Drosophila melanogaster: one gene and its partners. The protein of the gene in region 1 interacts with the protein of each later gene in a pairwise test. Each region holds a gene or a part of one and is shown in the gene's direction. Other genes may lie near its edges.

Region 1 (7,790 bases):
AAACAGCTCCCAAGCTAAATAGCTTTAAAGACTTTTAAACGTATAATCTTTCACTAAATTATTTTTAAATGCATATTTTAAATAGAAGACATTTTTCAAAGTTGGCGCTTAATATCCAAACAGCTGTTTCAACGCCAGCGCTTGGCACTTATCGATAACCTATTTCAATCGATTCCAATTGGCATTCTTCTAATTGAAGAATTAAGTAAATAATGGATATATCCGCGCCACCAAACAAACGTGCTCGAAAATCACCCAATCTGGATGAAGACATAACTGGGATCCGGGCCATCCTCTCCGATGAGTTCGACGAGGATATTGCGCTCATCAAGGCGCACAGTTGCGAGTTGGAGACGAAACAGCAGCTCCAGGCGGTCATCCAGGAGCTCTCACAGAAATTGCCCCACTTTCAACACCTAAAGCGCGTCCAGGATCGCAGCGTGCTCATATGTCCCAGCTCAGAGATCGGAGTGTCTCAAAGCCTGGAACAACACCTTGAACAGTTTGCCTTTTCGGAGCACGTGCTCCGTGCTTTGTGCCAGGGAGTCCGGGTGGTGGAGGTGCCGGAACGGATGCCCCGACTGCGGGTGCAGTACGAGAAGACCCTTAAGCACTGGCCCTGCAAGTTTCACCCTAATCACTACTCGGAGTCACTGAGGAATGGCAGCAACTTTAGCTCCGCACAACGCACATTTCACAAAAGGATCGGGCAATTGCTTGTGAGGCTCTCGCGGGATGTCAATGCCAATCGTCCGGTGGGCATCTGCGTGGATCCGCGACAACCCAGCATTGTGTCCATTGCTGGAACTGGTGAAGTTTGTAGGCCGCACGAGCACTGCTGCATGATGCTCGTCGATTTTGTGGCTCGCAGTCAAGAAGGAGGCGCCACAAAAACGGAGGTTACATTCACCGAAGATTTCAAGAAGGATACCACTCTGCGGGGTATTCCTAAAGCCTACTACGATTACCTGATGAACAATGAAGACTACAAAGACCTGACATTCGGAGCGGAAAAGTCGAGAGAATGCAAAGAAGTGGACGCAGTTCAAGGAGCAGATAACCTGGCCAAATTCGGACCCTATCTGTGCACCGGCTACGATATCTATCTGCTGCAGGAACCCTGCCTTATGTGCTCCATGGCCCTGGTACATAGCAGGGCGAAAAGAGTATTTTTCGTTAAGAACTCTGAAAACGGAGCTCTAGCCACGAGATTCCAACTGCATTCGGTGCGGGAACTCAACCATCACTACGAAGTGTTCCAGTTCACAACCAAGGAGGATGAAGACTTGACGTAACGTTTAACAAACCTTGGTTTTAATAAAGGATTTATAGGATATCTTCGATTTTCGGCGTTGTTTTGGCCGTCGACTGGCGGGTGGGCGTGGACAGGAGACCCAGCAAATGGCAATCTGCCTCTAGAATGGTAATATCCTTGGACGAACCCAGAAACTTGGTGGACAACTCCAAGTCCTTGATGCGCAGTCGAACACGGGCTCCTCGCACATAGTCGCTGAAGTAGGAAAGGCGGTTTATTGGATAAAGAGACAGGAAATTATATTGAACTCACCTGGCATTGCGTGTTGGACGACTGCAGACGCAGTGAAACTTCCAACCAAAGTCTATGTAGAGATCATCGCCCACCACATGAAAGATCTTGCCACTGACCACCTTGCCCTCGGCGTTGTCCAGCTGCTCCAGAAATCAACAAGTTATTACATAAACAATGGGATTACTTAAATAATGTACCCACATCAATTAATTTGGAGTTGCGCAGCAGGGAGGCGAAGGTCTGGTTGTCTTCCGGCAGCTGTGGAGGCGTGGCTGGTGCCGTGTACTTGTCGAAGGCACGGGCGAATCCTCCCTTGCTGCTGCCAATCTCCGCCGTTTCCGTATTCACTGCGGGAGTAGATTCCTCCGCCGGTTTTTCTGTGTTACCGCTGATAAGTCGAATGACCATTGGCATTCGGGAACGACAGGTTAATGAAGCCATCGGTACACCAGATCTGCTTAGTTTTTGCAAGAGCGACATGGTTTTAATTTAATATTGCTCAAAAATATCCACAAGAAAACCAAAACCAAGTGGAAAACCAAAGAAGAAGAGCGGCACCGATAGACTGCTAATCGATTATTAGCAGCTGCGTCGGCTCATCACTAATCGAATATTACAAAAAACACGCTGCCGGCATTTATTTTGATATTACGAAATCGGTTGTAAGACGTAGGTAATTAACAATTAAACAAGCAAAATGATCCAGCAACAGCGCCAGAAAATCGAGGCCGCGGTAACGGAGATGATCGACGACATGGACAAGACGCACCTGCGCAAAATGCAGGTAAGTGGAGTTCGCTTTAGGGGATATCCCGAAACTGACTTGCTTTTCACGAAATTCCAGAATGAGATGCACTTGTGTGCGGCCAAGTGCTGCCAGGATGGAACCTCCAGCGTGGACAGTGTCCAGAGATGTGTGGATCGATGCTCCGCGCCCATGACGAGGGCACAGAACTACGTTCAACACGAATTGGGCGAGTTCCAGGGCAGACTTCAACGTTGCGTCATGGTTAGTATCCATTGCACCAACTTTTTGCCCTGGTGGCTCTAAGAATAATAGAATATTATTAGGCAACGCTCATATTTCACATTCTCCTCTTCCGCAGCAATGCAACGACGATGTGAAGGTGAAAATGCCGCCCAGTCCCAATGAGGATCAGATAGCCAAGTACACCGACCAATTCGAGCGCTGTGCCATCCAGTGTGTGGACAAGCATGTGGGCCTCATTCCCGGCATGATGAAGACCATGAAGGCTGTGCTCTCCAAGGGACCCGAGAGCATTCCCCAAGTCTAACTCAACCTGCATTTACTACATAATTAGTTGTTGAATTCGTTTATTTTAAAACCGTGCAATGAGTCCCATCTCTGGAGTCATTTCAAATTTTGCTTTTAAGAATATAGAACAAAAATTACCTTATTAATTGTTGAAAGTCTTAAGCAGCAACCAACAACTGTTGTGCTAACAATCTTCGGAAGAATGTCAAGTTTTGCCATCAGTAAAAAAAATAAACATACTTTGTACACCGAAAACTGTCAATTCAACATTTTGTTTTGTTCTTTCGAAATTGTTCAAATTTTAAATTGAAATGGTGGAGCAACAAAAAAAGCGCTTGGAGGGCGCCATTAGCGAAATGATCGAGGACATGTACCGCACCCACTTGCGCAGAATGCAGGTGAGTGTGTGGCCTCCACTTGCCTACTATGAATTTCTGGTAAGAACGTTGTTTCCAAGTCCACGATGCACCGCTGTGCCGCCCGCTGCTGCGACGATGATCGAGGGACGCTGGAGAGCGTACAGAACTGCATCGAGAAGTGCGCCGGTCCCCTGATGGATGCCCAGGATTTCCTGCAGCACGAGCTGGGCCAATTCCAGAATAGACTTCAAAACTGCGTTAGGGTAGGAGCTTAAACTATAATTATAAATGCTTAATATTGGATTGATATATCCTATTTTTAATACGATTGCCAACCCGCAGGATTGCAACAGCGATGCGCGGTCTCAGATGCCCAGCAATCCGAGTGACCGGGACATGTCCCGATCCCAGCACATGTTTGAGAGTTGCACGAACAACTGTGTGGACAAGTACATAAACCTGATACCTGGTCTGCTCAAGTCGATCAAGCAAACACTGGACAGGGGTCCGCCGAAAAGATCACGCAACATGGATGTCTAACCGGGATGCAATTCAGGATCTGGTGACATTTAAAAAAGCACATTCAAGCAGTTGTCAATGGTTCACTTATTTATTGAATATTTTTGGTACAGCTAACACTTAAAGTACACTAATCGCTGCTGTGATCCGGGATAGCCAATGGATTGGAATGGGAACTTATCAGCGCCAACGTGGCCCTTGCTCGCCATGTTTGATAGCTCAGCTCCCGGATCTTCTTAGGCCCTAGCTCATTAAATATCTAGTAATAAAGATTCTTAGTATTATGCAACAATACGAGAGGCTATATTTTTAGGATCTTGATGGATCTACTGCTCGTTCTGCTTCGTCCTCACGCCGTATTTGCTCCAGAAGGTGACCTTGGCGGTGGTCTTCTTCAGGTTGTCCTGGAACACGGAGCACGTGTCGAAGGGTGGACAGTATAGGTGAAGGGAGACAGAGGTATCCGAATGGCTGGGGTTCTCCACGCGATGCAGACCCAGATTGTCTATGGATAACAAAACGAAAAAAAAAAAAACAGTAAGTATAGGAATACCCCACTTTTAAAGTTTCTAATTTTCTCACCATTTATGTAGGCCACATCATTGACGGCGATTGGTGTCTCCCCAATCTCCACCAGCTCTCGGCTATCGATCTCGCCATCGGGATGATGGGACCGGCCGTTGTCCCTGGCAGATCTATTGGGATACTCGTAGCGCTTCTCGCGCAGATCACCCTTCAGCATCTTCATGAAGCAATGGGAATCGGCATGGTCGTGCACCGAGGAGCCGTGTCCTTCGCCCCAGCACAGAATCAGCAGATTGAACTTTCCATTGCCAGCATCCACGAGATTCCGCGTGTAGGTGTAACGATCGAACTTGGCATATTTGCGCCACTCCCGCGGATTGGACTTGTAGCTGAGCATAAGGTGATTCACCATCTCGATGTTAACATAGTTCGACTCGAATTCCCGGTGAAGGGCGGCCACCAAGTCCGATAGGGAATTCACCTCCGGTCCGTATTTCAGGGGTTTCTCCAGCGGCTGATAGTAGCTAGTGGCCTGACGCAGGTACTTCTCCTGGTCAACCTGCTCGATCTCGGTGTCGATCTTGGACAGGGCCATTTTGGGCTTGCTCTGATTGACCTAGGTTGCGAAAAGGGAAGCGGAAGTTAGAGTGGTGGTGCATCAGTTGAGGCTGAAGGGCGTGGAAAACTACCTATAAAGTCTATAAAGATCACTGCTCAATTGATTTAGATGAATTACGTTGTAAAGTCGATGATCGCTGATAATAGCTATTGGTATATATATATATGAATATTCCGATTCGTTGCTGTTACAATTGATTGAATTGCTTCGACTAACCGCACACGCTCCACCTCGGATCGCAAAATTCGAACTGAATTCTGGAGATTTCGCTCTCCTGTCCAGGCTGCATAATCAGCTCGGATCCGACGTAAATCGGAGGCGCAAGTCCAAAACAATAACAAAAACAAGAAGTCGCCGGCGATAACCGTCCATCCAACTTATCAATAGCAGATTTTACCAATACCCTCGGCTATATAATACACGTATTTCTCAGTAGATGATGATAGATCGAATGTTGCCAGGAGGGGCTCAACAGATGTGCCTGAATTTGAGACAAGAGGTTAACGGCGATCTAATGGGATCGTTTGGCAAATAAAAAACAAATTTATTCCACAATATACTCTGGAGCCGACAATAAAAAATATTTGGGCGATACGGGCATTGTCACTGATACGTTAATATACCAATTGATAACTGATAGCTGGTTGAATCTGGATGCTGACGAATTTGCTTTCAAGATCTGCGGGTCTTACCAGCCGGGATTTTCCCGCAAATTCATTTGAAAAAAAGAACCGCGACTTTCTCTAGTTTTGGATTATAGTTAACCGAAACACTTTGAGATACTTTTTGTTTCGAGAAAGTATTGCCTACTTTCAGGTTCGTTACAGATTTCTCTCAATTGCCTGCCATTTGTCAGCAGATCAGTCGTGTCTTTGTTACTCAGGAAGTTAATTAGTGACTAACACACTGACCTTACTTTCTCCATTAAAATGTTAAACAAAGAAAATGATTCTGTCATTGTTTCTCCTAACACGATATGAATTGAACTCATAAATTTAATTATATAACTTCAGGTGAAAACTCGAAATAAATAAAACACTTGAGCTTGCATTAAAGGTAATAACTTTTTTACGATCCCCATGCAATGTTGTTAAATCTTTTCCCCTTGGTGCCACATCAAGGTATTTGAAAAATGTTTTGCAATGGCCAAAAAGCATAAACTGCCAAGCTGGCAGCCAACTTTCGCAACAGGTTAAGGCCAATAGCAAAGTCAAAGCAAAAACTAAAAGCTGCGAACTGCCATTTGCGTAAATATTATGCGAACAAATAGCTTGGAAAATTGGTGAAAAGCAGTTGCCAATTTTCGAAACAGTTCAACAAACTACGATTTAAGTTTGATTTTCTGATTTTCGTACAATTTCAGCAGGGAAAGGGATTTGAAGGATAAAGGACTTACCATTTTGTTTGACTTCTTGGAATTTCTCTCTTAGCTATGGCAACTGAATAATTTTTTATGAACTTGAAATTCACTTTTTAAAAACACTTTTAATTTCAGGACTTGGTATTGCACTTTTTCGACTTTTCACTGGGTAGTTGCCACTTGGATGCGCGTCGCCGAGCTTATGTGCCCGTTTTGGGTATCTTTCACCAATTTATGAAGATCTTGGCCAGCAAACCCCGGTTAACCACTCAAAACGCAATTCGAGTGACAAAAGGCGACGCTGGCAGAGGCATCGCAGCTCGAATGGCATTTTGAGCACATTTTGAGCGCTTTTTGGGGCCGCGAGCCAAACTCAAAGCGGCTTCACTCGCTCCAAATTGGCTTGTTGTTGTTTGCTCAGTTGGCCAGGCCCGAAATTTATGCTACCACCACTACCACCACCGCCATGTCGATCCGAGGTTGAGCGGCCAGATATATTTCAATACATTTCTCCCCCAATCCAACTATTAATTATGGAGTCGTGCCGTTTTTTTTTTCTTCTTTCTCGGTCGATCTTCTTTCTTGTTTGTTTTTCTGGCCAAGAGAAATGGCCGGGAGCCTTTTGTCATAGCCAGTGGATGGAATTCTCTAGCTCCATTTTGGCCTGGGGTCAAAATGATGAAAGGCTTTATCATCAAATCGCTTGGAAACGCACACGAATTGTGTGTCAAGTACTTGTTGCCAATATTTGTTCAGCTCAAAACACTTGGCCTAAAACCACTTTGATAAATTAAAGTGGTAAATTTTCATACAACCATTTAATGAAAATTTAAACATTTTATATTCCTGGACTAAAAATATAGTTTTAACTTTACATATCTCTTTAAAGTATAACATTTGTGAGCGTATTTCTAGGATGTCATCTACTTTGACCGAGACATAATAAGCAAATTTACATATGCGATTAGTTCGTGGCTTTCTAACCAGGTTTATTCAACTTTGAACTATTCTTTTCGCATACCTGGCCCACTATGTAAATCATTTGCATATTCCCAAAACAATTTTATACGAACATTCATCTTTGTTTGCGTGTTTTCGCCTTGAATAATGCAGCTAATAACATATTCAATGACCGATCGGGAATTGAAAACAATATTTTGGTATTTGTCAACCACAAAAATGGGAATTCTCAGATCAGAATAATATTTTCGCCTATAAATGAGTGCTCTTATCAGCAGAAACACGTTTCGTACAAACAAACAAAGCTTAAAGGCTGCGACTTGTAAATTGGCGGAAATACATTTGTTCCCGTACTTAAGCACTTTTATTATAACAATTTTCAATAGTAAATTCACACTTTTATTATTACAATTTTCAATAGTAAATTCACATTTTTCTTATGCCTAATTTTCACATCAATTTCATTTGAATGATTCACAATTTGCTTAACGACTAGATAGAATAAAAGCATTGAAGTACACACATTTTTGGTATAGACATTGAACTATAAATGCTGCAGAAAATTAAAGCCACAATAAGCTGAATTTCATATTTAAGATATTTTGCTTTGAAGATAAAACTTG
Region 2 (9,026 bases), on another chromosome or scaffold:
GTAGCACACACATATGTTGTAGTGCAGAATAATCCCCACGAACTGTGTGTAGGATTCTTTTGCAATTGTGCAAGCAGTTCTTTTTATGTTCCTACTCTCCACCACTTGCAAGTGTATTTGCAAGCGATTGATTTGCCCAGAAGCTGCTAGATATAGGCAACGATAAAGTTTTATGTTTATTGGTAGCACCGCAGCTAACTGGAATTGGTTATCCAACGTCCTTGGCAGTTGAACAAACTAATTGGCAACGGGAACCGGCGGCAAAGTGCGTGGAACGGTGCGTATACGTAATAAAGCTTAATTACACTAGAGTCAACACAGAAGTCCAACGTTTACCGACTCGGGTTCTCTTTTGTGACTATATAGCTTCAACTGGGTACGTCTGGATAGGATTGTCTGACACAGTTTTACTACACAGCCGTAAATATTTCATCAATGCGGTGGAGAAGCAAAAAGTTTTTCAATTAGCATGCCAAGCGAAAATTTCAACTAATTAAAGGTCATTTTGTGGGTGGAAATCCACAACAGCGCACAAAGTTTTGACCCCAAAAAAATGTTGTTGCGTTTTTTTACTATTTTGGCAAAACAAAATTTATGACCATGGTAAAACAGACTGGAAAAAAAGAATGAGAGAAAAAGTACATTTTCCGATTTGCACGGTTCGATGGAAAGATAAAAAGGTTGTAAAACGAAGTCGAGTTCCAACGAAAATGTGTCAAGTTGTAAAAGTCGAAAGCATATGAATGCCTTACATTCTAGGGAAACCAGTGAAATGAAATGCCAACCGGAAACGGAAGCGTGCATAAACAGTTTTAATTATGTCCTGTTGCTGTTAGCAAATGAAGTGGCAACATGCGATGCGGAGAATTCACCGAACACCTCGGGAATTATGACATCAACACTCGGATGCCATCATCGTCATTGTCCAGAAAGCTCAGAATGTGTCCTTGCCACTAGCAACCTTATTTGGTAGTGAAATTGGTCTGGTTCTGATTTCGTTTTTATTCTACCTTTCCCTGTGCAACAGGCTGCGATTTTATGGCCCACGGCCAGCGAAAAGTAGTGAAACTACGCTTCTCCAAAGGATAATTGCAATTGGCGCTAATTCGAAATTCCGCTGGGAGTTGCAGGAGTGGATTACTTCGACTTAGCTCTTTTAATAAAGTTGCTACAATTGAAACTTTTAACATTCCACAAGTTTTGTCTTGCGTTGTTTGCTTGAATTAGATTTTTATTAGTTGTTTTTCTAGAGAAAGGGCCCCAATTATCTGATAAGCTTATGGTTTGGTTAAAAAAACAAGTAAATATTCCTTAAAGATCCACTGAAGCTTTAAAGATTGCTTTTAAACTGCTGCAAAGTGAGTGCCTGAAGGCAATTCCCCAACCACCTGCAGCCACGCGACTATTCCTTTATTATCCACCAGAAACACAAGCGGCACCATTAGCTAACCCTTTTGGTGGGCTTTTGGGGCCAGGGTCGCGACCTACACCAATCACGGTCTGCATTGTTTATGATAAATGGAAACGCTTGCCAGCTGCTCTGCCCCGCGGGAGATATGAAAGAGCTGAGATTCGGTTTCAGTTTCGGATACGGGGTGGAGTGGGGCGTTTCTGGTGGCGATGCGGTTTCCTGTATGTGAGGACAACCGTGAGCTGGCGATAAATGTGCGCCCACGCCCGGGATGTCGTCCTGTGGCCATGCGACGAGGTCAGGGAAAAGAATAGGGAAGCCGCATTGCAGGAACGCCGATGAGTTTTCGCTCTTGGATGCCACTAATTGCTGCGCTTTGTTGCTGCCACCCAATCTCCTCTGGGCATCTACCCCCCACCACCCTCCTGCATCCTTTTCATTCAGTTCGTTTTCCCACGTTTTCGCTGCACTCCAGGCACTCATATTCTAGCAGAATCTCGCTGGAGCTGCAAAACTACTCATTTCGCGCTTTTTTTTATGAATACATAATTTAATTTGAGCTTCAGTGGCAAACTACGAACTGAAGTTATTAAAAGGATAGTGTTGTTATAATTTGAAAGGCACTTAAAAAGTTTCATCGAATATGAAAAGTAGCAAGCATTTCAATTACAAATACCTTTCACCACTTTTCTTAACTTAATAAGAACATTTTTGTGATGCATAACTTTAAAGAAAATCATTGCAAATTAAGAGGAACAGTTTCTCCCTGTGCATATGGCTATCCAATATTTTCTATTTACTCAGTTATTTTTTGAAATAAAACTTTATTATTCAAATTTTTTCGCCATGATATCTTATTGGCTTTGGTGTTGAGCCGCGGTGCAGAGGCCAAAAGTGTTTGGCCACAAGGAAATTGCATTTTTTCCGTCGCGTTGCTGCTGTTCCTTTGACGAGTAGTTGCCATCTTTGGTTTGGGCTGGTGCATTTCGCATTTTGCAATTTAAATAAATTTTCCTTTGCTGCCATGTGGGGCGGCCAAGACGTTATTACTGTCGGAATCAGGAGCCACTCAAGCGACGCACCCACGCAGGCAAAAGGGATCCCAGGACGAAGGACGCAGGACGAGCAGCTTCGCTTCGTTTCGTTTCGTTTCGATTCGGATCGGTCCAAAAACGATGACGTAGTCGTCGTCCTTTTGCTGGCAATTGCCTTCGCCAAGTTGGCCAGCAATTTCAGTTTGCCTTTGGCCAACGGCAGCGACAGAACCTCCCGAACGTCTTGGAGCGGAAAATTCGAGAAAATCACAGCGCGCGAGTGCCAGAAAATATTTGAAAAATCTGCCAACGAAAAGGGAATAAATCAAAGAAAGGAAATTATTGTGTGAATCATGCCGGGAATCCTATTGCCACTGGCGCTATTGGCCCTCGTTTCAAATGGTGTGTGTGTGTTGCCTGCGGTTATTGGGCTTGTAAATTCAGAAATTCCTAAAATGATAAAATGTACAAATGTATATTGCATATCCCACAGGCGCAGCCATCAGGTGTTATGTCTGCGATTCCAGTGATAATCCCAGTTGCGCCGATCTGGGCTCGAATTCCAGCATAGTGGCGGAGGTGAGTTGGAAAGCAGATTGCTAGGATTGATTGATTACTGGCCTGTTGTGACCTGTTGGCGGGCCACTGGGTTGCCAGGTCAAGTTGGTTCAACCTTTTCAAACCTAATCGCATTCAAATCGACCTTAGTTCTTAGTCAAAAGCTTTGGCCCAGACGGTCGCAAGTTAAAGCTATATGGCACATAAATTTGCACTAGCAAAATACAAAAAAAAATAGTACAAAGCAACGGTTGGAAATGGAGCCCACAAAAGCGGAAACGGAAACGTGCTCCGTCGTCGTCCTCTTGTGGTGGCAACCCACTTTTCCCCTTTTTTTCAGGCTAACTGAATTTTCTGTTACTGGCATCTATCGCCGTTTTTAGTTGACTGCTACTTAACCCGGCCACGTGCCAAACAGTTGAAATACTTTCAACTTTCAACCAAAGTCCAACAACGTAAATTTCAAGCTGACAGGTTCTTGTAGGTGTCTAGTTGCCCGTTGGTAGAATTACTTTGATTTGAAGTGGCGACACCTGAGCTCAACTGGCTTATAATGCTACCAAAACTACTGCCAAGCACTTTAATTAAAACCATTAAAAAATAAATATCAAGAGAACATAGTTTCAAAGCTTTTGGGATATGAAAAAGAAGTTTCCAGACTCTTAAGTGGTCTAGAATTTTCTTCTGCTTAGTTAAACGTTTTTGACATCGGAAAATAACTTTTTTTATTCTTTTCTTAAGTTAATGAATCACTAAATCAAGTTGGTAAAACTACAACTGTTAATTGATTTATTTCCACAAAAACAATAACTTTCCTAGAACATCGAAAAAAAACTCAGTGTCAAACTCGCTGAAAGTCCCGTGCGACTTTCTTATCATTGCTGGAAATGATAGCCAAATTTGTTTTTAGAGACGTCAAGTAAATTCTTAAAATTTATTTCATTTGTCAAATCAGAGATGTGAATAATCAGCCACAAAACAGCCAAATGGCGCAAAATGTTCTGATTATTAATGGCCTGAATTATTAATTACGGAAATCTTATCTTGTATTGTGAGCGAAACTCAATTTTGTGTCAAAATAAATAATTCAAAATCAAATTAGATGCGCCAAAATAATCCCCTCAATTTATGTGTCTGATCGTATTGAAGATTTTAAATCGCAAAAAGAACAACAAATGTGACAATGTCATTTAGTTATTCCTATTAAATGGAGCACTTAAGGTGTTTATCCACTTTATCGCTGAAAACTTAAATGGGGTTTTCCCCTTTCTCGGTAAAAAAAAGCTGATACCTTAACGCCTAAGCCTTTCCAAGAATCGTTTTATTTCACTTCTTATCTGGGCTAAACAAATAGAGTTCAAGTGGTCTTGGTCTGGATACCAAGGCCATTCGGAAAACGCATCGTTAACGATATGGCCGAATGATTCGTCGATAAGATTAATAACTTACGCATCGAGTGCAATGGCAATTAATACTTTGATTAACCAAACAATAGGCATTCGTTGTTCCCCGGATTAAATTGCTGATAATATTTTTTAGGAATGCACTTTGGACAAAATGAAATCGCTGGACACCTGGCTATTTGACTTGAATAAGTTCTCATATTTCGATAATGGCGCCAACAAAAGTCCGCTCATGAATTGCCAAAAAGTTGTGGCCAAAGACCGTGAGTATTTTTTTAGGAAGTATAAAATATCAAATATATTCAAATATAATTTAATATTTTTAACATAGATTTAAATTCACTTGAGTAATGGTATCACATTTTTACAGCAACTTGACTCATTCTTATGGCTAATAAGCGATTCTTATCAAATGGTTAGAAATAAAGCTGCAATTTGCAGTGCGACTATTGTAGAATGTCAATAAAAGAAGCCCTAAAGATAACGAAAAATTTTATAGTTCACATGACACAGATTGTTTATTCAAAGCACTTACTTTTTATGACAATAGCAATTAAGTTTATTTGTTACATTCCTTTGGCAATATTAAGGATTCTAAAACATCAATACTTAAATTAAATTACGAGAACTTTACTTGTACTACAGTCATTTTAATTTATGAGCAAATCACTTGAATTTTCAATTAAGATTTTAACCTTTTAAATATAGTTGTATATATAGATGTATTGTATATAAATATTTAAATCAAGTGAATTTAAGTAAACCCAACTAAGTTGAGCTAGTTCTTAAATTTCGATATCTTGCTATTTTTCGCAGCTGATACAAGGAAAGTGGTGACGGCGCGCTTCTGCCAACTGGACACCGGCGACTCGGATGCCTGCGAGATCCTGCGTACCAAGCTTCGCATCCCGAGCCCCGAGGAGCGGGAGCAGCGGAATCGCAACCAAAACAAGCGAAGGAAGGGTCACGGCCAGGATGCGGAGGAGGATGACGAAATCTCCGCAGAGGATGCGTTCTTCTGCGGCATCTGTAAATCGCATCGCTGCAATGGTGCGGCGGCCGTAACGCTTTCCTTGGCTACGATTCTGGCCATGATTGCGCTCCAATTGGGCTGCTAAGCCAGTTGGATGGTGTGTGAGGGATATGGACAGATAACCGTGAAACGAGTGGTGGCATGATGGTTGCATTTAGGTTTTGATTACTTTGTAAATATTTGAGTGCAATGTCGCTGATTCGTACAGGTTGCTTCAATGGCACACACTACTTAACCCCATTAACCCCCTACTCCCTTAACCCTAGAAATGTAAGCACAGCACAGACACACACACGATACACCGATACAGTACATACAAGAGGAAGGAAAACACACACGGAAAAGTTCGCTTTGATTCAAAACAAATATGAAACTTTCGATTTTCAAAATAAATACCGGCAAAATAAAGAGTAGGGATATGTGTTAACCATACATCCTATATATCAATATAAAAATGGCATTCTATGCCATTAGCTCTTGTTGTTCAGCTTTATTATGTTACTATTCAGATTGTTAGTTTTAATGGCTTGGAGCGATGTGCATAGGAATTCACCAATTGCCTTTAATTCTCATATAATTTCTTAGGTAAATTGAAAAGTGCTAAATGATTCCAAAGTGCTTATATGTCCTAGTCAATGAATTCGTGTTAGAATATTGAAAATTTGATAGTACGTAAATTGACTGTAAAAGCCGCAAGCAAAAACAATCAACTTAATGCAAGACGCGAATTTAGGAATCACGTGAAACAAATGCAATAAATGTTAGTAAATGTGCAATTAGATGAAAATGTCAACGAAAAGCAATGCAACAATTATTACGTGAGCTTCAAATCGGCTAAAAACAAACAACAACTATATAGTACCATATGTTTTTTGCGACGCGTCGAGCTCTCAGTTCTGCTTAGTTTGTAAGCGTTTTTTGAAATGGAAACTAAATTGAACATTCCGAGCACACAATAAATGCTGTATGACAGTATAAAAGATTTTGGAGTGCGAATTTTTTAATAGCCGATAACGATGACTTTTATAACAGTCTTGGCATCAAGATAAAGGGTATCTGGGTTACTGGAGCTTGGAAAAAAGTATCAATGCAATAAAAAGTATATTCAATTCATAACAAGAATATTGATTGCCATGAAATTATTGTATTATATTTATTTTTATATTTGTTTGTTGCGTTAGGCCAACAGAGCGTATGCGCGATATTCGTAATACCTCTTACTTTCTAACTTACTTTCTATCTTTTCAACGGTATCCAACTCTTCGAGTGACAAAAAAAAAACTCCCAGCCCATATCAAATATTTTGTTTTTGTTGTCTTTTGCTCCTTTTTGGACTTGTGCTCCGCAATCAAAGATAATTTTCCCATTACTCATGTAAAAGATGCTTCAGTTTTTCCCGCCTCCTACGCCCGCTTATCAATAGCTCGACCTCTGTCGCTCCATCATGCTTTCCCTGTCTCTCGCATTTAATTTGAAAGTCTGGGCCGATGCTATCGTATGTCGTATGTAGTTTTTTTTTCCTGCTTCCCGTGAACTACATGTTTCACCAGCCCCGCAAATCATGTGTCAACCCCCCACAAGTCCACCAAACCCACATTTATGGCTATGAAATTCAGTTTTTGATGAAGCAAACAGCAGACTCCGGAAGGTTCTTTGTGCCAGTTCAATTTGAATTTTCGGTAGCTGACACGACGACGTTGGAGCGGTGAAAAAATAAATAAATTTATAGAAAATATATCCATAGAAGGCTGCTCAATCTGGGCAAGTTGCATGCTCTGACACTTTGACGTTTGGCAAATTGAAAGTTTTAAACTCCCCATTCACCACCCCATCATAAACCTGCCCGGAATGCGCTCCTTGTGGCTTCTACTTCTAGTGGCTTTCGTTGGCTGCGGCCCATGTGTTTCAGGTATGTCATAAATCATCGAGTGGTGTAAGCCCTACACCGTATGCTAATTGATTGACCCCGAAGCGAGTTACAAAAAGTTGCGCATACGCAACGTTGAACCAAACAGAGGGGTGCGCTTATTGCTTGGGTAATCCAGCTGATAAGGTGAAGCTGATAAGGCGCACCCTCACGGGTGCCCTTTTAAGGTCATAGGTTCATGTTTCCTTTTGTGAATTTCCACTGTGAATTAAACCTTATTTTGCATTTCATATTATGCATATAGTTATGTTATTGGCATAAAACTAACAAAAATATTAAAATGATTTAAAGATCCATATTAAAGATGATATTATGAGCAAGGTGGCATATTTTTATTTTTACTTAATATTTATTTAAAATCTCTTCTTTGCCCAGCTTTGCGTTGCTACAAATGTGAAGACTGCGATGAAAATACGCAGCTAAGTGAAATGGAAGTGTGTGAGAGTCCACTGATGGGCGGCAACTCCAGCACGAAACCAAATCCTGCTCCTTCTCCATCACCAGCTGAAACGAATAATACAAATAGTGCTCCTGGCTCCTTCTCCTCCTCCGATGCCAGCGAAGAGGAAGAGGACTCTGAAAGCGAAGAATCGGCGACCATAGGCATCATGCCAGCAGGATCCGGAACAGCTGCTGTAGGCGGAGGAGCAGCTGGAGGAGCAACCGGAGGAGCAGCTGGAGGAGCAGATGGATCAGCAGCGGAAGAAGTTGTAAGCGAAGAGGAGGAAGAGGACGAAGATGAGGAGGATGAGGAGCGACGCAGGCGGAGATCGAATGCACGACAGGTCGATCTCGATGTGCCAATTGCCTTCTGTTACACAGTGAGGCTCCAACGTAAGCAACTGCCGCCCATTCCCATGGGTGTGCATCATAAAAATCATAAAAACGCCGCCTGGTGTGATGCTCCCCCACCCATGGCGATAAGTTATCTACGACTGAGTCATGCGAAAATAGCACACAGTGCAAACTGAAATGCACTAGATGTAATGATTTGTATATAGATAGGAAAATATTATTATTATTATGATTTATTCAAACCTTATTCAAACCCACCTGCTCCACAGTTAACGAATCGACGATCACCAAGAGGGGCTGCACCACCGCCAGGAGGAGCAATCAGACGGGTGGATGCGATGGTCTCTTCGAGAACTGGACGGTGGCCGGATGCCAGCTGTGCCAGGACGATGGATGCAACCAGCCCATGGCCATCGGATCATCCAGTAGAAACAATGTCCAATTCTGGACACTGCTGGCTGGACTCATGCTAATGGCATTTATGACCCGCCGCCATCCGATATGGTAGAAAATCAGCAGACACGGCGTGGGGGCTCGATCGATATGAAATATAGAAATACAAGATATATGGCCGCCACAACTTCGATTTCGACTTTGGTGTCTGAGTTCATTGTTTTTTGGGAGCGCTTGCCGATTTAGCGCGGGCACATGATGTGTCTATTTATACCTTGCTTACCACTCGAAACGTCTATTGTCTGGTGGTCATGAGCACACCTGAGCTATTTTCGCATAATTGTTTAATTGGCATCGATAAGGAAGGCATTGTCCCTTTTTTTTCCAAATTCTACCAGCTAGGGAAAGTGCTCGCTCATTGAGTAGAGGCGTTTCATTCAAGTTGCAACCGTATCGCAATCAAATCAATTAG
Region 3 (6,980 bases), on another chromosome or scaffold:
ATCCAATCACCTGTTGCGTCTTGATAATCTCTCTTTGGCTCTGTATTATTTTCTTATAGCCCGAGACGCTAATTCAATTGACACTCTTTCGGGCCTCGCTGGGTTGCCATAAAAACTGGATGGAAAACTTTTCCAAGCTTATTTAGTTTGGCATTTCATTGAGACGGAACCGCACAGACACAGGCACACACGCACCGGATTTGTTTATTAATTTTATTATTTATTTTTTATGGCATTCGAAACTGAATTTTAAAACTTGATACCGCTGCGATATGCGATTCTCCACTGCGGATATGCGAAATATCCACCGCGCTGGCCAACGCTCGACGGCAAAATGCGCGAATGAATCGCACGGATAGCAAGCCCAAGCAGTTGGGATTCGGGCTCGGGATTTCCGAATCGGGTAACCCAACTGGGGGACTTCGGGAAAAGTGGACGAGCCCCCGAGCTGCGGACTGCGAGCTGCGGACGCCTGTTGAGTGCTTGGAAAAGCGCGGAGAGTTGCAGTTCTACGGCTTGGCCTCCGTCCGGATATAATCGTAAACGAAATATGCTGGCTCTTTTCTTTATAGCTATGATTTGTGGCTGTCGCCGAGATTCCGCTCGCTATTTCTGGCCGCCGTTTGTGAACGTTCTTTACACTTTCAATGGCACTCAAATATAATTGAGACGTAAACCGCGATGGGCAATATGTATTTTCTTAGACGGACCAATAAAGAATCGACGGGTCTGCCAATCAATCGGCATCCGCTCATTGATATTGATGGCCCAGCTGGTTGATCCTTGGCTTCGGAGGGGTACTACTTTTCGATGCGGATGTGCCCAAGAGCACGCAACCCCCGAAATAATCGTTTGGCCAAAATCAATTTGTGCCATTGTGCTGCTTTATGGGCTGTCATCCCGGTATAGAACCAGAAGCCCCCATAAAACCCCCATCGATCCATCGGCTTGTTAGCAGTTCATCAAAATTGTTTGCCGCATATTAATTGCCCGATGTTGGGGCTGCTACTGTGTCAAGCGGAGTGCGATCGTATTGCTCGAGCATCGGGTATTATTAATGCCCCCATACTACAATATCATATCGGACCATCACCATCGACTGGGAATATCGTTTTATTGACATTTACGTGCACGTGACTGGCCTGCGAAGATGTTTGCCTTCTGTCTAGCGAATAGTCACTGCTTTAGATGTGCAAACAAAATCGCGATGCTTGCTGCAGCCAATCCGGCGTATACGTAATGAACTGAGCAGCACTCTTTTTGCCCGGATCTGTAAGTTTTAGAACCATATCTATGGGTCCACGTGCTGGCAATTTGCACGCCCATTTTGGGTTTTACAAGGAGATTTGAATGCAATCGATTCGGAGCGTAGTCAGCTCGCACAATTTATGACCGCACTTTAATTGCTTTTGAATTTTAAGAAATATTTAAATTGTGCGAGAGACAGGGAAGTGCGAGTGACAGAGACAGCGGGAGAGCTTCACCACAGCCGTTGGTAAGCTTACGGTAAAACTTCGAAAGGTTTGTGTCTCAGCTAATGCTTAACGCTTTAAATGATTATTTAATCTTTAACATGGATAATTTCCTTGTAAAAATAAAACGATTATTTTGGATGGAAAATGAGAAAAACTAGTTGATCAAAATAATCCATGTTTCCAAGTGGTTTTTTCAATATTTCTTGACTGAAAATGGTCGTAAAGTAAAAATAATTACTGTTTTGTGCAGCTAATTACCAATGCTTACGATCCCTGTCCCGTTTTTTCGAATTAAGAAAAAAAAATTTTTTTGTCAATTTTCGAATTTTTATAAGGGGTAACATCATCAAATTTTGCAAAAAATCGCAAAAATTTAAAGTTTCCAAATTTGAACACTAATCGATTGGGAAGTTAATTAGGAGTAAAATAAGATATGCCACTCCACTTTTGAACCATTATTTTCAAAGTTGTGTCCAAAAAACGCATTATTTTTTAACCAAAAACAGGGAAATCGAGCTTGGACCAAAAAGTCATATTTACAATTTATAGGATTTATAATTATAGAATTTTTTGAATGCCTATCAAATGGGACTTAACCAGCACTATCAACAGCTCATTAATAAAAACAACAGATCAGCAAAACAAACTCAGTTCTCAAACTTTTTAGCAGAGCGGGCAAACGGCTCAGATCCATATGTTGGCCACTCGTATCCATTCGGTCTCGGTTATGTAGAGCCGCAGAAATGCGATATGGGGAACCCCTCCCCACCAAAAATTGCAGGCACATTCAATGAATTCCACAGTCAGTCGGAAAAATGGTGGGGGGGGGGGGTATGGAAAATGCATGGGTGCTAAACGTTTAATAATTGTCGTTGCCCACATGTACACTGCAAAGAATTGTACACTCAAAAATAATCCTATTTTCGTTATGTACGTTTAAACTGCGTTCTTTCAGTGGATCTCTCTATATATAAAGACATTACAGATAATTAAATTGTGAGATATTAAGCACAGAAAGGTTGACTGCATTTCTCATTGTGTATAAGAACAGAGAGCTGATCTCCCCACTGCACTCGGAGTATCCAGTTACTCGCCGGGCTTCAAACTATCCGAGTTCCCGCGTTCTTGCCAATGTGAATTTTGTTTACCAGCCATATCCATATCTTATTTAAATATGAACATTTCTGCCGCCCCACAACCGAGCAGTAGACACATTTTAATTAATAAGCACTGCCAGACGAGACGGCTTCTGTTCTCGGGCTCTGAATTCTGGGTTCTGGTTCTGGTTCCTCGTCTGGTTCTGGTCACAAAGTAGTCAGTCTTCAGCGCAGCTCGATAGCGAAAGATGTTTGCCGGGAGCGGCGGTCTCAGTGCCACCGATCCATCTAATCCAAGGTCGCGGGAATAGGACTGCTCTACTGTGTCGTTTGGCGCCATGTGCTGCTGGTGTGCACGTGTCTACTGGACGGTTCTGCACAATCTCCTGGCTCGCATGATGGACAGCCTGATGGAAGTCAGATCGCCCACCTTCTGTAGCTGCTGCTTCGGTTATCAGCGGCAGGCCAGTCAGGAAGGTGACGTCGCAGAACGGGTTTCCAGCACCGACGACGATCCACAACAGCAGCCCCGTGAGGATTACGTCATTGTGGGTGAGTACGCATCGATCTCTCGGTTTCAAAACAAAGCCAAATCCCCAGAGTGACGGCATATAAACCAAAACAGAAAGCACGATACAGTTCGTAGAGCTAAATTTAACTCGAATTTAAGTTTAAATGATCGAAATTTGATAAATAATAGATAACTACAGAGGCATAAATTAATGTAGAGTAATACTCAATTAGAAGATTAAGCGGTAAATAGGTCCAATTACTAATACAACATTTTTAATTCCGCAAAGACGATGCCGATGTCAACTACGCGGAGATTGAGGAGAGGCATGTGGAAAAGGAGCAGTACTACTTCACAGTGGATCGTCCTACGGCGGAGCGAATGCTCCATGGACGAGAGGACGGGTCCTGCCTGGTTCGACCTTTCAAGGCAGCCGACCAGTGGATCCGTTACATAGTGAGCATCTGGGCGGCGGATCAGTACTATCACCTGTTCATAAGGCAAGTGGATAGGAGACAACGCTATGCCATTGGTCAGAAGAAGTCTCAGGAGCGCTGCTTCGGATCCCCCTCGGAAATCGTGGAGTTCTACACGGAGCATCCACTTCTCTGCACCAACAAGGTCCGGAGCCAGTGCGTCCAACTCCGTCCCATCAGTTACGCTTAGCTAGGGGTCAAATCTTTATTGCATAAGAGAGGGCAAGTATGTACAAATGGGGTTAGCTTAAGACGATGCTCAGGTGGCCACCACCGCCTTGAAGGCGCACTGGTTGTTCTGCATCAGGGCGGGCCAGAGGAAGGCTTTTATCAGATCCGATCGCCGGTCCGCCTGGGGATGCCGCTCGTGTTTCTCGGGCCTCAGGAAACCTGCATGGGATTTACGTAGGTGTAAGATTGTTAAACGATTAAAGAGTAGCTTAAAACCCACCCAGGTTGAAGTCCATGTCCAGGTAGTACGGCGCCTTCTGGTTGATCATCCTCCAGGCCAGTCGGACACAGGCACTGACGTAGTGCGTCAACGGGGGGCAGGACTCCAGGCAGGGGTACTCGTGCAGAGTAGATAGCACCTGGTTGAACACCGACCGCTCGATCTCGCCCAACGGGAAACTCTCGGCGGTCTCGAAGAGGTGCTGGCGAACGGATCTGTCCAGGGACAAGGTGGTCTCACTGCTGCTGTCCAAGGGGCAATTCAGGACTCGCCGAACTTCCAGGACCTTTCGCTCCCGCATTCCGTGGCACAGGCGGAAGGAGAGCTACACAAGTACCAATAAGTTAAGAAAATTATCAATTAGATGACTATCTAATTAGACTTACTTATGAATGAATAAATAGTTTTTCGAAAATCATAAATATGTGACTTATTATTATCAACTAATCTTGATGGTACCATTTCCCTGCAAAAGTGTCGTTCATCTGAGATCGAAAGTGATTCAAATCCCAAGCGCCTACGTAATTTTCTGACACCCTGGGGGCTCCACTTTCCCTCACATTTTCACTGCACCAACGCCTAATCATCCTCTAGTGCGAATTCGATCTTGCAAAATTGATATTTTGCAATCGCAGTTTGTGGTCCGACAGGATTTAAAGCATCCAGAGCCCACGGGCTTGGCTGGAAATAATTGATGGCCAAGCACTTGAAAATTGAAAGTAATCTTCGCTGGATGAATTGGTCTCACAGTTTGAGAGTCATTGTGCTGTGCTAAATTTCCAAACGAAAGCAGTGCAAGCAGTTCGTACGCTGAGCTACTTCAAGATCAAGTTTATCAGCTTTTGACCTGCCAAATGCCAATTGGAAGAGTTCGTCCCAATTTTAAAACAATCGCTATTTTTTCACTTTTGACAAGGGCTTTATTCTATTTGAATAGCCTTAAGAATTGTATAGAAAAATATCTATTAGCATTGTAAAGTTAAAGTGTTATTGACATGGAATTGGCACGCTGAAAGATTATGAACGCCCATAATAAATTGAGGCTATTCATCACAAATAACTCCGTACTGTCTTGACAAGTGAAAACGAAGGAGATAATTATAAAAGTAAAACTATGTTGCTAGCGATTTATATTCCAAAGACAAGTGAATGATTGACTGGCAATAATTTCTCCTCATGATTTAATCTCAAATTCTTTCTCAGCCACCTAAAGTTTAGCAACGAAATTAAATACAACGTAATACAAATAATGGTAGCGAACACACCCAATAGAAAACTTACTTATCTCCCAAAAAAAAAAAAGTGAAAACAAGGCCGACTCGCAATTGGCACTAATTTCTCCCGATCGAGGTAATCTCGAAATACGTTCGGCCTCTTTAACAATCCATTATTGAGTGTTCGGACATATCTACTGTATCTACAATCTACAACCCATCCCAAAACACATACGAATGCTAGGTACTTCAGACTCACCACGATCATGGAGAAGAGTATCTTCCCCTTGAGGCTGTGCGCGTGTTTTATCTGGGGAAGACTGTCCAACGCCTCCAAGGCGTCCGCTCGGTTCTCGACGTAGAGATTCCGATAGAGCGACACCATTTCGCTGTGGAGATAGAGAAATGGAATCACAAATCAGAGTGTGGGATGCGGGCAGGTGAGAGTTGGATGCGGTCGCGATCTGATTTGACTGAGTTTGTAATGTGGGTGTTGCACCTTATTGGAACTCGGTCAAGTGTAAGAATTAGGTTTTGTATGTATTCTTTATGTATGTTTTTTACCTGCTGTCATCGCTTCCAGAGTCGTCCGAGTGATATCCATCGCTGCAGCTGCTCGTGCTAGCGCCGCCTGGGGGAGTGGTCTTTCCAATGGAGTGGGAGGAGCCCGGAGGACCTCCTTCAGGGCCCATCATGTGGAGCACCACCTCGCAGCCGCGGGAGAAGTTCATCAGCAGACCGGCGGCAGGGCGTTTCTCCACGAGCGCCTGTGCGTCCAGACGACGCACCTGACCCACGCAGGTGAGCACCTCCTTGTCGTTCTCCACCCGCGTGCTGAGGTTCTCGACCAGGGTTTGGAGCTGCTTGAGAGCCGGCTTGTCTAGCATTGTGAGCAGGGTCTTGTTGTCGATCAGTCGCTGCTGAATATCCCCATAATTGATGGCCAACAATCGTTGATGGGAGGAGTGAGCAGGGTCTTGGTTGACAGTCACCATGCTCAGCTCCTCCAGCTTGTGAATGGCCATCTTGTAGGTATCCACATGGCGTTGCAGCTCGGTTTTCAGGGCTACATGTAGGGAAATAAGCTGACCCGAGGCATCGGTGGTCAGTCCATGGACCCCAAGACCTTGTACAGCGTTATCAAAACTGCGTCTTCTTTCCCTCAAAGTCTGCCGGAGCCCTGGTTCGTACTGAGCCAAGGCCTGCAGGAGTCGAGTGCATCTCTGCCGGAGTCCTGATTCATGGGGATTAGCGAACAGACGCACCAACTGCCAGGCCACCGTTTCACTAGGCACATCTGGCTTGGGAGTGGTGTTCAGGGTGGTCAATCTGTGGGAAAATTAAAAAAAAATAGTAACGTTTGATATAAAACGAAATATTTTTAGAAGACTCACAATATTCAACTTTAATAATAACTCACCTGGTAAAGAAAGACTCCAGAAGGTAGGCACTGTGAGGCAGGTGCTCCAGCAGCAGGTCCAGCGGAAGCTCAGCGATCACTGATCTGAGAACCGAGGGACCCAGTCTGCCCACCACGCCAGCAGCCTCCCTGTACTGTCTGCCCTCCGAGAGGAGCATCAGCCGACGAAGAACCTGACGCGGACTGGTCAGGAACTCGCGACCATCCCTGGAGGGTCCACGAATCCGTTCCCTGCTGTCCGCCATCGATGCGGCGCCAAAGGACAGGGGAAGCGACGGAGAATGACCGTGGAGCTGCAGAATAGCGTCCTGATGATTCTTCAGCAGGATCTGCTTG
Region 4 (8,262 bases), on another chromosome or scaffold:
GATTGAAGGAGTGAAAGAAAAATCTCAGCATCCCCGGGATTTCCCTGCAGAATTCCTGGGCCATTTCGCCATTTCCATCACCATAATTGCCCCTAAATAGGTTAAGGCCCTCGATACGGGCAGACAACCCGGAATCGCCCCAAACCAAAACCAACGTGTTTGGCATGTTAAATTGTCAGCCGAAACCCGCATTCCGGTTGGCTTTTTCCCCACCCACCAGAATGATTTATACGAGACAAGCGCACATATATACATATACATACATAGATGGAGCGCAAAAAATTGATGACAAGCATTTCCGGGCTGCTCATCTGACATAATTTATGTAAACACTTACCTCCCAGCAACAAAAAAGTTTTGGGGGGTAGATAAGAGACTGCCGGACGACTGCCGACTGACCCCCATTAGCTGGGGAAACTCCACTCACTGCTCGGCAAAACCATGGCCAGACATTCCGCAGGACGTTCTCCACACATTACATTGACAGTTCTTGTTTATGGCCCGTTAACGGGGCGTATGCGTCATCTGCAAAGTCGGGGGATTATGTGCGACTTCTTTAAAACGCGCTGCGCAACAAAGCAAAGTTCAACTTTTTATATGTGTGCCAATAAAAATCCAATTGAAAACGCAAATAAGCCAATAATTTGTCGTTCTTTTTTTTTGTCCCGCAGCAGCGGAAAAATGTACAAAAAAAAAATTGTCTGTGGTCACGTTTGATTTGTTTTGGTAAATGGGCCAAATGAGGTTTATGCTTTTTTAACTTTGTGCTGAGGAAAGCGATTTTCTTTACCGGGAATTTCACATAAATTCAGACCAACCTTTTCTGGAAATGCTGAACTCCAGGGTGGATTAATAACGTCATTTAAAATAGTATTTTTATGATAGTTATAGTTAACTAGCTATAGGTAATATATAGGTAATTTGATTTAAATTGGTTATCACAGAAAGTTTTCAGGGGCTTACAGTTGTAGTACAGGGTATTAAAAAGTCATCAGCTGCGCTTAAAGTTAATCTTCCCATAATTTTTTGGCCGCTCGCCTAATTTATGTGCTTTGCTTTCACTTTGCTGGCTTTCTTTCGTCGGCCAAGTTTTGTTTACGTCTGCTTAAAGTTGTCCACATTGGCTCTCAACCTTTTGCAATCGCCATAAATTATTGCCTTTATCCAGTGGCCCATCTTGGTTTAATTGTTTTGCAATAATTGAATTCATTGAATTCATCCGACAAATTGCTCTTGGCAACCCGCTGCTACTGTGTGTGCATATGAAACATTCACTTTTTGCACCCAATGTGCTATCAATGAGTTTACATTTGCCATTTAAACGCATCTGTCGATATCAAGGAGAAAATATTTCCAAATGAGTGCGGACAGTTCCCACAAATACACAAATACACTATCCATGGAATATGTTGCCAAATTTGTTGAGTTTCAATACACAATTTTATTGTGAATGGTCGATTTTGATATCTTAATCATTTAAAGTCTAGAGATGAATAAATGATTGCTGATTTCAAGCTTTGCCATAATCGTATCTGTAAGCTGTTTTTGCAGAGTAAAAGAGTCTTAGCATCGTCAAATTTCCATTTGCATACTTTGCTTTTATTTATGTTGGAGCACATAAATATTTATCCACAGATTCGGCCCGACTGACAATCCCGCCCACATATCACAGCACTTATCACATCCGCCTGCTTTTGGGCATGTGTGTGCCATAAATCGGGGGATTACGATCGTGGGAAGGGGGGTTTGGACCCATGGCAGTTTATTGAATCGGAATTCACAAAAATTCAATCTGCATGTAATTTGGCATTATAGACAGACCCTTCCCATTCCGCCATGCGGAAGGAGCAGCCAGTCTGACCCCCGATGAATGGGTTATCAAAATGTTGACCCGCCGATGGTCATTTGATGATGGGCAGCTGTAAGGAGATTAAACATTTTGTGATTTAATGTAAGCCCAGTGCTGTCCATAATTCGCTGCACGAGCTGTCCCAAACAAAAGACTCTTCAGCTGGACACCGACTCCTCCACCGCTTGCCCGAATGTGTCAAAGATTTTTTATTCGCCGCTTGGCGATATGTGGGTTTCTACGAGTTAACGGGGTCATCGACCACGTCGGGCGGATACACCTCTAATCCCCCCGCAATCAACGTGCAAAAAAGTCCACCAAAGTCCACAAAGAGACTTGAGCAGCCAACAAAAAAAAATATGGCAAAAAATGTAGTTCCAGGGGGCACCCGGATTTGAACCGGGGACCTCTCGATCTGCAGTCGAATGCTCTACCCCTGAGCTATACCCCCGACTTGAAAATGGCGAACTCAGAGCGCCTTTTAAAGTTCCCTGATGCGATAAAATTTCGCCTTTGCATTTATCTTAAAATAGAAATGAAATCAATTTGGAACAGAGTGACTGTTCCGCGAAACTGTGGGTGTGATTCACACGACGAATCTCCGGCAACTTGCAATCTTATCTGCGAGTAATGTGCCCCACCAACTCCCCGAACTTTCTCCTTTCGCCCGCCCCCTCCCCCAAAAGCAAACTGATAGCTAGCTGCAGACGGACGGACTGACAGATGTTTTTGTCATCCGAAAATAGCTGGTAACTCGAGCCAAGAAACTGAAACTTTCTCGGTCGCAGATATGCAGGTCACAGACGTCAGCATTGATATTGAACTTTTGGGCCACTTTGGCAAGTGTTTCGCAGCGACCTCTGAACTTTGCCTGCCAAGGGGTGAAACTTGCTACTCTGTCGGATGCACAAGAGCGATCGATGAGTGACAGAAGCTATTTCGCAACTTGAACCCATTTTATTGAACGGACTTGAGTGACTAATTAGCTGCCTATAAATGGCTATAATAGCACAAAGTTATACTCAGAAAATAAGAGCAATAAAAGGAGTAGAAGTGATTAATTAGACAGGCATAGATTGCCATAATAGAACAAACTGTTATCAAGACAATTAAAGTAAAAACCAGGGGAGTTAAATTTGATTTGGATGGCTTAGGAAGAATCGTGTAATCTAGATAGAGGGAAGGGGTTAAGTTTGCATTTCATTTCCGCATCGCTTTCCGCATTGCTTAGAAACCGAGCGGGCTTAGAGGTCTGGCCGACTTCCGGCGTGGGCCAGACGTGCTGGCTGGGTGGTAGCCACTCCAGACAGACACTTGTTCCCCCCCGTGTCAAGCAACCAACGACCTTGCCGCAACACGCTCCACATGCTGGCTGCATAAGTCGTTGGGTATTATATATAAATGCAGGTCTACCATCGCTCAGACAGTTTTATGTTCTGGCCAACGTGGTGAATCGAGTGCAGAAGCTCTGTTTGTGGAAAGCGCAGAAAGAAACGCCGAAAAATGTCGCAGCTGCAACTGCTGCTCCTCGTCGCTTCGGCCTCCGTGGTCCTCGCGGGATACAGCTCCTCCACCGACGAGTCGACGGACGCCTCCAACTCCATTGGCGGCACCAAGTGCGACAAGAACCCGCTGAACGAACTGACCTTCCAGCTCAGCGGCAGCAGCCTCCACTGGCCCTGCGAGTCCACCAAGAACATCTACGTCCAGTCCGGCCGCTATGTGCCCCGTAACGTGATCGTGACCCGGGCCCAACTGCAGCGGGACTCCGCCTTCGTGGCGCTGCCCAGGTACAAGCAGGGCGTGCCCTTCACTCTCGGCAAGGTCAATCTAAAGAAGGGCGAGTGCCTGACCAAGATCGCACCCTATCCCTGCTGGGCCATTCAGGAGGAGGGCAACTGCCAGGCGCTGCAGTCCGTCGTGGACATAGCCGTCGATCAGAATGTGAGTGCAATTAACGCCAGTATTGTTTGGACCATTTTTTTTTTGGGGGTCAGACAAGTTGTCTCGTCCAAACTGCCAGTTCTGCCTTTAATTACGGACTGCTCGTTGTTGGCCACCATGGAGGCATAGCACTTTAACCCACACCAAATGTTTAATTCATATTTGTATCGTGGGTGGATTACAGGGTAGCATTGAAATGCTCTTAGGGCTATTCACTTTTTTTTTCTAAAAATGATTTAGTTTATCTTCTGATATTGATATTGATGTGCAGTCGCAGTGTTAAATATTTGCTAGCCCTTACAAAGTCGATCAAAATCGGGAGTTTAGCTCCAGGGTATCGTTTTCGCATTAACCCCTTGCCGGACGCACTTTTTTAATTGGTTAGCCTCGCTGTCGACCAAATATTACTTTTTTAATCAAATAAACGGGGCCACAAAAGTGAAGAGCTCCAAATAAAATTCATGCCCGTCAATTGGCGGCAGCAATTTAAGGGTAGAATAAACGGATACGGAAACGCCGAAAAAGCTGTGGGGTAAATGGAATATTATAAAGGACAAGGACTGCAGCTGAAAAGTGACAAGCAAATGCAGTGAAAAGTTCTCGAAAATAATTTTGGAAATGCTGGGAACAGGCCATCCAGCCGTGTTTTGTGCATTTCGATTGCACTTCAGAAGTTCTCAGCTTTAATTTTAAATGACAGATGCATTCGCAGATATTACAATGATGCTATTAAATATTTACATGACCTACTTACGATTGCGAGCATAAGCTGCAACTTAATAATTTCCTTCAATTATTGTTGGCGTCGAATCGTTCTCATTTAAATGCCATTCCCGTTTAGCTGCATTTATGCAAATCATTTCTTTATTTTATTTACACAAAAGTCGACGAAACAATAACAAACGGCAAACAAACGAGGCGACTGTATTTATTTATTTGCGCAATTTTCCATTCAGTGCTTTTCGCTGATACTCATTTTATGGCCACATATTTGCGAATGTGGAATTTTTAACGCCGCCAACATTTCAATTAGCCGCCAAATGAAAACATTAACAACAATCAACACGAGCTGCAATTGATAGCAATTAATAATTGCCTTCTCCGTTCGCAGGGACTTCTGTGGGCCTTGGACGTGGGCATTGTCAACACCCTGGAGCAGCCCATCCGCAGATGCAGTCCCAAGATCGTGGCCATAAACACGGCCAACCACAAGGTGGTCAAGAGCATCGACCTCAGCGACCTGGTCACCTCCGAGAGTCGGCTGCAGTTCATCGTGGTCGACTACTCCAAGGACAACAAGCCATTCGTGTGAGTTCCATTGCCTATACTCTTTTATTACCCTTAACTTCATCTGTGAAATGAGTTGTACTTAATCACTTTTTGAAATACATCAACTATGAAATTAATACCACACATTACATTATTATTAACCATTATTACTAACCATTATTTATCAGCACAATGATATTCAGAGATTCATATTGCAGTCATAAAATATTCGTTGAAATCATCGAACTGAATCAAGAGTTTGGAGTACTTTTACCACACACTTTCAATCATGCTTTCAATCAGCGATCATTGAGCCAATCAAAAGGGCATTAGCCACTTTGAGGCTCATATCTTATCTGCTCAAGGTAGTTCTCAGAAGTGTGGCTCATCATATACCAAATAAAATCGATTTGTATTGCATACATGATATCTAATCTCATTCCACATTATATTTCCTTCACTTTCAACCATAGCTATGTGGCCGATGCTGGAGCACGTAGTATCCTGGTATACGACATCACCGGCAACAAGTCCTACCGCATCGTCCTGCCGAAGGCCACCGCCCCCACCAGCGATGTGCTGTACGTGGCGCTCACCTCGAAGCCGGACGGCACCTCCACCCTGTTCTTCAGCTACCTGAGCTCCCCCCGTCTGTACTCCATCAAGGGCGAGTACCTGCGCGTTGGCCAGGGAGCGGGCTCCATCATCGACGTGGGCCCCAAGCCCTATGGCAAACAGGCGGTGCTGCTGGGCGCCGACGGCGGCACCTCGCTCTTCTTCCGCTACAAGGGCGAGAACGACATTTACCTGTGGGACTCGGAGACCTGCTTCAAGGCCGCCAATCTGCAGGAGGTGCAGCGGGGAGGCGACTGCCGGCTGTCCACCCAAGTGCTCCCGGGTCACAAGCGATTCATGTGGGCGCTGGAGAGCAACTTCCACGATTTCATCTCGGATCGCACGGGCTGCAACGGAGCCTCGATCGTCCTGCATCCTGTGGTGCGGGAATGTGACGATTGAGTCCGTATCCCTCCACTTTCTTAGGCTTAAGATTCAAACTGATTTGTTGTCGTTACTGGGTCTCATTAAAATTTTGGTGAATATTTATAGTTATTTGTAGTTTATCTTAAAATGTTCAGAATGATTTCAATTTTTTAAATAGGCATTTACTTGAATCAATATTGGTACCATGAAAACAATTCATTACTCTGACTCTGATTGGCACTTTCGAGTCTCAGCATTGAAATACTGTCCCATTGGACAGCTGTAGATCTGCAGCTGGTGATCGATGCATATGCAGTACTCATCCTTGGTGGAGACATTGGGACAGCTGAGGATCTCAAAGTCCGAGCACTGATAGATCCTATCAGTCACGCAGGTCAGGATCTTAGGATCAATTTGGAAGCCGGCGGGACAGGTCATCACCTCCAGTTCTCCATCGACGCACTTGCAGTACTCGATCTCAGAGGTTCGGAAGGGGCATTGGTACCTATCGTTGTTCATGCACGTGTGGGACTCCATCGCCTGAATGCTCCTCATGCTCCTGGTGTCGGGCACACAGCTGTAGCTGTTGAAAACGAATCCCTCGTGGCACTTCATCATCAGCGGATACAGCGAATTGGCCGTGTCATTGACGCAGACGTAGAAGTACCGATTGTCGGGCGCCCATCCACCCACTTGTCCCGACCGACTGCAGGTGAACTGCTCCTGGATGCACTGCTCACTCTCCCGTGGCAGAACACAAGTGCCCGTGAGTGTGGAGTAGCCCGCTCCGTTGGAGCAGATGCGAGGGGTGTCCACACTCTGATCGCTGCACTCGTGGTACCGCCTACAGTCGTACGGATCCGGGAACAGGCCCGCCTGCTGACAGCTGAAGGGACCTCTCTTGGGCACCTGGCACTGCGACTGGAAGGTGCATCCGAAGGTACCCTCGTCGCTGCAATAGAAATTGTACTCCGATTGGCAGCCCAGCATCGAAATCGTTTCCCAGCTGCCGGTGGCATCGCGGATGCAGTAGCCCAAGGTGGTGCAGTTCATGCAAACGAAGCCGGGAATGCGCACATCCTGGCAGGGATTATCATTAGCCCACGCCGATCCCAACGCCAGAGCGAGCAGGATTAGACAAACCGGTACTGAAGACCTCATCTTGAAGACTGTTGGCTGGGTCATCTGCGGGACTAGCTTTTATAGCACCACCTAATCAGCCAGGCAAGTGTCTTTTTCTTAATTAAACAGATAAGCTTCTCTAGGTATTATCGATTTGATAAAGAACCAAAATTTTACGACGTAATAATAAATTTAGAAAACTTACTAAGCGTAGCTAAAATTGTAATTATTCGAAGAGTATCATCGAAACTGCGAACTGATAAATCCGGAATTCATTGAAAATAGTTTAATCAGTTTTAATCAGTTTTATTCCAAGATAGGCTAGCTACAATAACTATAATATGTTGGGTCAACAAGTTCCAGTAACGCACGCAAAGGAAATTAGATTGAAGATGGTTCCTACCGAGCATCTGAAATACTCAATATCACTGCCCTTTTCGCGACAATGATAGTACCCAGAGCAGTCAGCGGGATCACCAAACAATCCAAGCCGCTGGCACTTTCCAGACGAACTGGGCAACTCGTCGTCATCAGATCCTGTGTTCAGGCAAATCTGCAGCTCGTCATCAAAGGTAAAGCCCGTTGGACAGTAGTTAAGATGCCATTTGCCATCGATGCAGAGGCAGAAGACATCGCTTGCCGTGCTGTTAGGACATGGGGATGGAGTATAATCGTCCTGGCACTCAACGCTTCCCACCCGGCAGACCAATCGGTTGGCATCGAAGTAGGTTCCTTCAGGGCATTTCCAGATCTGAAGGTGCTTATCTTTGCACACGCAAAACTCGTCCATTTCTGTGGCCATCGGACATTTGCCGATTTGGTGATTGGTACAGCTGGTAGTGTCTGTAGATACGCAGGCTTGGATAGTTTCGTTAAAGTAGTAATCATCTGGACAGGATTCAGCAGCTGCATCCAATCTGAGCTCCAGATAACTGCCGTTCCCCAACCCTTTTCCCGTTTGAAACAACAGAAAAGTTAGGAGGCAGATAATCAGGCGAGATGAATCCATGTTGCAAACTTTCTAAGTAGACCTCTTCACACTCCGCCTTATATAGTACCTCACAACCAAACGCAGAATGTTTCGGTATAATTAATAG

The links.
Region 2: the proteins of CG5327 (region 1) and witty interact in a two-hybrid assay, tested with the Drosophila melanogaster proteins (one large-scale study listed by BioGRID).
Region 3: the proteins of CG5327 (region 1) and CG15529 interact in a two-hybrid assay, tested with the Drosophila melanogaster proteins (one large-scale study listed by BioGRID).
Region 4: the proteins of CG5327 (region 1) and yellow-g interact in a two-hybrid assay, tested with the Drosophila melanogaster proteins (one large-scale study listed by BioGRID).

Annotation. Positions count from the first base shown.
Region 1 is NT_033778.4:18,612,915-18,620,704, forward strand, and holds CG5327 (uncharacterized protein), read left to right. Parts: upstream 1-3,073; 5' UTR 3,074-3,136; coding exon 3,137-3,223; intron 3,224-3,282; coding exon 3,283-3,447; intron 3,448-3,526; coding exon 3,527-3,724; 3' UTR 3,725-4,029; coding exon of another isoform or gene 4,030-4,208; 3' UTR 4,209-4,240; intron 4,241-4,285; coding exon of another isoform or gene 4,286-4,823; 3' UTR 4,824-5,403; downstream 5,404-7,790. Other genes in the region: CG10927 (uncharacterized protein), read left to right, coding at 213-1,295; mRpS28 (mitochondrial ribosomal protein S28), read right to left, coding at 1,327-1,510, 1,568-1,689, 1,751-2,029; CG5323 (uncharacterized protein), read left to right, coding at 2,247-2,333, 2,394-2,558, 2,656-2,844; CG5493 (uncharacterized protein), read right to left, coding at 4,030-4,208, 4,286-4,823.
Region 2 is NT_033779.5:8,335,642-8,344,667, forward strand, and holds witty (without maturity), read left to right. Parts: upstream 1-2,645; 5' UTR 2,646-2,798; coding exon 2,799-2,847; intron 2,848-2,938; coding exon 2,939-3,024; intron 3,025-4,542; coding exon 4,543-4,669; intron 4,670-5,222; coding exon 5,223-5,524; 3' UTR 5,525-6,415; downstream 6,416-9,026. Other genes in the region: CG14273 (uncharacterized protein), read left to right, coding at 7,288-7,348, 7,742-8,200, 8,431-8,669.
Region 3 is NT_033777.3:30,149,271-30,156,250, forward strand, and holds CG15529 (uncharacterized protein), read left to right. Parts: upstream 1-2,788; 5' UTR 2,789-2,910; coding exon 2,911-3,124; intron 3,125-3,372; coding exon 3,373-3,749; 3' UTR 3,750-3,818; coding exon of another isoform or gene 3,819-3,949; 3' UTR 3,950-4,010; coding exon of another isoform or gene 4,011-4,335; 3' UTR 4,336-4,429; downstream 4,430-6,980. Other genes in the region: CG11498 (uncharacterized protein), read right to left, coding at 3,819-3,949, 4,011-4,335, 5,484-5,613, 5,789-6,553, 6,645-6,980.
Region 4 is NT_037436.4:2,267,782-2,276,043, reverse strand, and holds yellow-g (yellow-g), read left to right. Parts: upstream 1-3,274; 5' UTR 3,275-3,352; coding exon 3,353-3,793; intron 3,794-4,904; coding exon 4,905-5,101; intron 5,102-5,535; coding exon 5,536-6,079; 3' UTR 6,080-6,163; downstream 6,164-8,262. Other genes in the region: CG32302 (uncharacterized protein), read right to left, coding at 6,263-7,204; obst-I (obstructor-I), read right to left, coding at 7,515-8,174.